Oryzias latipes: one gene and its partner. The protein of the gene in region 2 interacts with the protein of the main gene of each other region in a biochemical or structural test. Links are inferred from orthologs where the notes say so. Each region holds a gene or a part of one and is shown on either strand. Other genes may lie near its edges.

What was found.
Region 1: of the proteins of fbxl17 (region 2) and sufu, one has a biochemical effect on the other in vitro, tested with the Homo sapiens proteins (2 studies listed by BioGRID, with this or other methods). The link is inferred for Oryzias latipes from reciprocal best matches to the Homo sapiens genes FBXL17 and SUFU.

What each region holds. Positions count from the first base shown.
Region 1 is NC_019873.2:23,439,451-23,443,379, forward strand, and holds the start of sufu (suppressor of fused homolog), read right to left. Parts: upstream 2,706-3,929; 5' UTR 2,525-2,705; coding exon 2,376-2,524; intron 2,006-2,375; coding exon 1,871-2,005; intron 1,684-1,870; coding exon 1,547-1,683; intron 665-1,546; coding exon 522-664; intron 1-521. UniProt on the Homo sapiens protein: Negative regulator in the hedgehog/smoothened signaling pathway. Down-regulates GLI1-mediated transactivation of target genes. Down-regulates GLI2-mediated transactivation of target genes. Part of a corepressor complex that acts on DNA-bound GLI1.
Region 2 is NC_019867.2:8,013,847-8,016,964, forward strand, and holds the end of fbxl17 (F-box/LRR-repeat protein 17), read left to right. Parts: intron 1-713; coding exon 714-851; 3' UTR 852-2,315; downstream 2,316-3,118. UniProt on the Homo sapiens protein: Substrate-recognition component of the SCF(FBXL17) E3 ubiquitin ligase complex, a key component of a quality control pathway required to ensure functional dimerization of BTB domain-containing proteins (dimerization quality control, DQC).

The DNA of each region.
Region 1 (3,929 bases), on a different chromosome or scaffold from region 2:
TTGTTCCTGTTCCTTAAATGCAGTTTGAAAAGAAAGTTTTATTTCTCTGATGTTCATATGACATTTTGACTTAAGTAAAAGAAACAAAAGGTTAACAGTTTAGCAGCGGCGCTAGAATGAAAACCTCAGAATTTCAGATTCAAACAATCCACATATGATGAACCAAAAAGATGAGCCAGAAAAACACAAGTGAGCGAGGCAAAGAAACAATACGAAGCGTGACAGTAGAAACAGTCATTGGAGTGTTTTTGTAACAGTTTTTTCCTTCTTTGTTACACAAGAACCTTCAAAGTGAATGTTTAATTAACAGAATTAAATGCAAAAACCAAAACTGTGATACTGACAAATACATTTTTAAATCCCTTTTTTTGTGATAATCACAGAAAAATAATATGCCAATCTATATTTATTATATACAAACCCGGTCGACCTAACATATTAAAGTGTGGTTAACAAACAAAAACTAAAGAAATATCTATATATTCTTATGAACTCTGTAGCTGAAGGGAATTTGGATTCACCTGAAGGAAGCTCACTGTGCCGAACGGAGTCTGGATTGGCTGCATCTGCGGGTCTTCTGTGAGCAGCATATGCTGGATCCGAGATTCACTGTTATCAAGTGGACTGTGCCATGAAACATGGTCACCACTACAAAAGGTGTTTTCTGTAGAGAGGCAGTTTTTTATTTTTTAGTTCAACCAATGCGGTTGGAAGTTAAGACTGTCATGAGATCAAGTCTAGTACATCTGGGTCTGTGTTTTCAAACTCATTCCTCATTCCTTTACTTTACTGTATCACTGCACAGAAATATAAGAATAACAAAATCAAGGCAATAAGAACCCCAAAAAATGACATAACAAAAAGGATGAGTAGAAAATCAGAAGAAAACAACAAGAAAAACTAAATAAATGGCCTTCATCCATCTGAGTGAATGCATCTGCTTGGGTGGCAACAAGCTCCCTATCTGGACTCAGAAGAGAAGCAAAGGGGAGGATGGTCAGAAAAATCAGCAATCATTCTGTTTAGGAGCCCACCCACATCCAAACTGACCCCAGCTGGAAATGAGAGCCTAGAGTAAACGGCTTCCCCTCCTTTGTGTCTACCCCAACTCAGCCACATTTTTCTGATCCAGGCTCAGAAGAAAACTAGAAACCTGATAACATAGCATTTCAACTCTTGATGTTTACAGGAGCCACAAAACTCTATCTTTTTTATCTTTGAAATAGAATAATAAAAAAAAACAGTTCTCAATAAATAAAAAAATTGATTTCAACTGGAAGACCATATGCCAAGAAAAGAATTGCCTTAAAAAGTAATCAACGTTCCTAAATTAAATGGATGTATAGTTAAAACGAATAACAGAGCTAAATACTTAAACGCCGTACTAGCAGCAACCAGTTTCACAAACGGTTTTATGGATTTTAATGTACATCAAGAACAGGAGTCCATCAAACTTTCAAAATTGTTATCCATCCATGAGAATGTATGTTTCAGCATCATCTGAATGCATGTGGACATTGAAGGAGCACCAGATTGCGATTTTTACCTGACTGGAAGACATATCGTGCCAATCCTTGCATGAGTTCAGCTGGCCATGTGGGAGGTGCAGTCTCTCCGACCTCTCTTTTGAGCCTAAAGGTGAGCTCAAAGCCAAACCCACTAGGTCCATCTGCCCCTGTAAATCTGAAAAACGTAAATTTGTGTATGTTTTTATAAACAGCAGGGCTTGCCTTGGTAATCTCTGCATTGATATATACAGATCAAAACATATGGCTAACTATGGGGGGGGGGGGGGGGGGGTGCAGTACCATATCAACATTTGGATTAATCATGATTTTAATAGCATGTCAATAAATTTGCAAAAACTTACTCGTGAACACGATTATCGCCATATAAGTCACTCAGGCCAAAGCTCACATAGTGCCAATGCTCCTGAACGTCCTGAGCAGGACGGCCCATGTTTCTGTACATGCTGATGTAGTCTAGCGGGTCTGGCCCACCAAGCCTAATGTATAGACAACATTTCATTTATTAAAAGCAAGTTTTCCATTAAGATCAATACATGATGCGTCAAAAAACTACGTTTATTCCAAAACCTGTCATGTGTACCTAAACTGACTGAGAGATGAAAAGATTTTAGTGTTATTATTTACACTTTTTTGTGCTTTATTTAACAATAAAACTTGGTGCTAAAATTCCGAATTCCATCAAAATAACATCCTTTGTTTGAAGAAATCTCCCAAATGTTAGCTAAGTTGTTTAGCTAGGCTAAACTTTTTCTCTGCTAATGCTAGCTATCGCTTCATGAAGAACACACACAAAAAAGTCTCTTATAAAGATTTTTGTCAGATTAAAAATAATGGTTTGTTACATACCAATATTTTACAATGGCAGTAACTTGCAGCGGGTTGGCTTGGTCGGGATAAAGTCGCCGACATTCCCCATAGATAGCCTGCAGCCCCGGAGGAAACAGTGGTACCAGCCCGTGGGCTGGCGCACCGCTAACAGGCCGTATCTCGTCCATACCACGGCCTCAAACAATCCAGAATTATCTTTGTAAGACGAAAAAATAAAGATAAACAAATTCAGTTACTTTTCAGGACACTAAAATAAAGAAATCTCTCAAAAGCAAGGCGTTGTGTAACAGTGAACTCTCCTCGTTGTGCTAAACTCAGGGGCCTGTTGCTCATTGTCCACAAGGGGTAAAAAAAAAAAAAACACCAAACAGCTGGTTGGCCAGGGAGGATGACGTCACAGATCGACGCTTCTATCCACCAATAGGAGTGGAGCTTTTTGAGCCGCTGTGTCGGACTTAAAAAAACTGTGGTCAAAAAATTATTGTTGTCATTTTTATTATTATAGTTTTCAATTAACCTATATGATGCAACTATAGTAGAGGCCAGTGCTTATGCGGACGGATTGATGTTTCATTAGGTTTTTACTCATAGGGAAATGTACTCCAACAGCAAAACAGATATACAAAATATATACCTGATGGCCTCCATATTATTTTTTTTTGTATCTAAAATTGGTCTTAAATAATTATGACCTCATGGCAGCTATTATATTATTCTTTTATTATAAAACAGAACAAATTTCAAAAGAGTGATGACATTTAATGTAAATCAACACAAAAGGCGCCAAGAATCCAAGTAGGGAGCTTTGGATTTTTTTTTGTGTGAATGAATTAACCCTAAAACAACTAGACAAAATCAATAAAAATGTTTTTTTTTTTTTTTGCTGTGGGGAGTAATACACACACTGTTTCTGAATGTGCTCAAATTGGAGACACTGAGGATGAGGGATAACCTTTCCTTCTGCTCCGAATGAGCATGAAAGTGAAATAATAAAATATAACCCCACCATAGAAGGATATGTCAAAATTGGGCTGCACGCTGGTGTAGTGGTCAGCACTCTTGTCTCACATCATGAAGGCTCTGCTTCAAATCCCAGCTATGGGGCTTTTCCAGGTCTTCTCTGGGAACTCCAACTTCTTCTTACCGTACTGTCTAAAAATGTGCTTCATAGGTTAATTGAAATGTCTAAATTGCCCCTTAAGTGTGTGTGACAGAATGGCAACCTGCCCAGCGCATACTTAACCTTTGTCCATCAAGGCTTCAGCAACCGTCTAACCCCAAAAGGGGGGTTTAAAAGATGTACGGATTATCAAAATTATTATAAAAACACAAAACATCCCCACCTGCCTGTCATAAATTCCTTTGGTATTAAGATTTGTTCTTTAATCACACAGAACGTTGCAGATGAACAGCTGTGTAAATTGTAGTCAAATCTGTTTTTTGATCATTTTGTGTGAGATCAGGTGTGGGTGAAACTGAGGGGAAACGTCTTTCAACAAGAGAGAAATTGGTTTCTGCGTGGGACATGAGTAAAGATAAGAATTCCAAACCTCGCTGTGCAACCTGTCAGTG
Region 2 (3,118 bases):
ACTTTTCATTTTCATTCAAGTTTTCTTAACATATGTCTTTTAGTTTCCTCTTCTTCACTGTGTGTGTCTTGAAATGTACGTTTTTGTGTGTTTTTATTGGCTTTATTTCTTTTGTTTCCCAATGCATGGTATGTGTCTTTTTCATTTTTTAAAAAAAGAACCAGGCATTAAAACAAGCTGTGAAACACAGAGCTGTTTACATTAATAAACAGATCATCAGCTATATTTAGCCACAAAGCTCAACATATTGTGTTAACCTGTCAGGAAAAAGCATCAACTGATTAAATAAAGATATAAAATGTTTTTTTTTTTTTTTCTTTTAAAGCTAAGTGTAATAGAGACATTGTCTTTTTTGTTTTTAAGTTAAGTTAAAAAAAGGGGATTTTGTCTTAAACTATTATCACACAAAGGAAAACTACAATTACTACACTACTATGAGCACACAGATACTGGTTGCAAAAAACACTTATATTTGTATTTGCTTAAATAAATAAAGCTGCAGTCAATGCCATTTTAATTAGTCCAGTTGGTTTATATCTCTAGCAGGGGTTGTAGAAACTGTACAAATATTGAAGCTTTGCATTTTTAATTAAGAGAAATAAGACACTATTGGCTCTGTGATATAAAATATGTCCAAAAGCCTTGGAAAACAGATGAGCAAATGAAGCTTGATATAATAAACCAAAATGTGGATGTGGTTCTTTGTTTTGCAGGTGAACGAGGAGACGGTGGAGAGGCTGGTGGTCCAGTATCCTCACATTGTGTTCAGCACGGTGATGCAGGACTGCAAGAGGACCCTTGAGAGAGCGTATCAAATGGGCTGGAGCCCAAACACGTCAAACTCCTCGTAGCTAACACCGGACCTCAACCAACGAGTCGCAAACGCGCACGCAGAAAAACTGAATTTTGTTGGGCTCTGTCACGTCAGCTTCTCATTCACTACCACCACGTGCATGTGATCTTGTAGTGACACACAAGACGGAACATCAGTCCGTTTGAATCTGATCTCCTATCTTGATATTTTCAACTTAAAATGATCTTTCTTCAGACCAGAAGCAACACAAGCTCATGTTATTAGAAGTAAAGGTTAAGAATGTAAAGTGTCTTTAAATTCTCTGAAGCGTCTGCATGCAGAGGAGGGAGTTAATTTTTGACAGCTTTTGATGATACTTATAGAAAACCAAGTTTTAATCAGTCGGGGAAATAAGTGAATTTTTTCAGACTTGAAGAAAAATGAGTTTTATCTACAAGAGGATGAGAAGGTTTTTTCTTTGTGGAGCGACTCACAATCCAGCTGTTACAGAGCAAGGAAGTACAACACAACAGCATCAACGTGAACGGCTCTACACCTCACCATTTAAAGAAAATGTGTTTTACTTCTCTGTTCATTAAAAACCTTGTTTATTGAACATAAGTAGTGTTTAACGTTAATGTTTTTGCAGAGTTAGGGACTCAGTGTGTTTACAATATTTTTCTGTTGAAGTTAAATTTGGTTCATTGACTATTCTGCCTCTAATCCAGTGCAGAAATGGAAATTGGCTTTACTTTTAGTCATTAAGTATTAAAGAGATCTTGAGACAGACACGACCTTCACCTGGGTCAAAGGCAAAGTTTAATAGAAAAAAAATTGTGACCTTAATTGGTTTATTGCCAAAAAAAAGCAAAAACCCATTTTCAGAAAGACATATTTAACTGATTTATAAGAAACCTTATTCATATTGTTTGGTCTACATATATGCACATATTTATATAAATATATACAGACATGAATACTGCATTAGATTTATTTAGTCAACTTTTGGTTTAAACATAATTGTAACATTAGCTGTGTAGCAAAGCAGTTTTTTCTCTTCCACGTGGAGCAGCAGAAAAGTGGCTTTGGCCTGAAACGGCGTGAGTATGCGTGTCTGGGTGAACGTTTTTCCTTTATTATATAAAAGCTATGTAGTGTACAGTGAAAGAATTCAAACGGCCAGGGTATTTTTGTACAGCGTGAGTCCGCTCTGGGCTCAGTCACCTCTCGCTGTCACTCACATGGAAACTAAAGCTCATTGGATTGGACTTTGACTAGAACTGTAAACTTTTTCAGCAGGGTGGAGAGTTGAAATCTGAAGCATTTAACCCTGTTCAGGATTTGTAGACTTTATTCAACGGAGGATTTCTCTTTCCTTCCTGTTTTGATCTCTTTCTGTTCTTTTGTAATCCCTGTGCGCACTGTTTTCTCTGCTAGATGTTGACTCACTTTATTTCTGATCTCTTAAGACAACCATAAATGACTGGATTTACATAATGATGAATAAAACCCACAACTTGAAGCTTTTTTCCCCTCTTCTTTCAGCGTGTCTTCAATCGGGCTTGAAAGTGCACTCAGAATGACAGACGGATCCCTTTTCCGCTTTATTCTACGTCGCCAGCAGTTTCTAAACTTTCCTTTATATTGATTACACTTTATCATCATAACGGTGATCAAATTGACCTCCAAAATGAGCTGGTTTTTCTGACAAATGAGCATCTCTTTTTCTACAGACAGCAATGCATTTGTAATGGCTTTTGTACTGCGCTCCATGACACAACAGTCAACCTTCATCTCTGTTAAGGGACACTTTCAAAGTCGGGACTATTTACGATCACACGGAACCCACATCTGAGACAAAGTGAGGAGACATCAGCTTGCTGCCCAGCGAGGCAGCAAAGGCCTCAAAGAGCTAACAAGCTGTCACTCAGTCTGTCTCCATTCTTTGCCGATATTGTCCTTTCAAGTGGCGCTTTTGCTGTTCAATGTGATCTGGTCGTCTCATCTCTGCTGATCAAACACTGGAGGTTGTGAAGGTTCCCAGATTGAGTTTTTGTGTTGTCAGCACAGTTTTTGTCAACTTGAGGCTCATTGGTTTAAGCTTAACAGGTTTATTCTTTCAAATCGGTCTTGTAATCTTTCTTGATGAGGCACGAGTGAATTTAGACCACAGAGCGATAATTAGGAGTCTGCAGGATGTGTTGATGAGGGCTGGTTAAAAAATGCACATTTTCCAGTTTGATGCGGGACAGTCTGAGGATGAAATGGACATCTGTGGAGTGTTTTTCATGTCAGCGCTACCTCTGTTGAGCTCAGTTTTCTCTT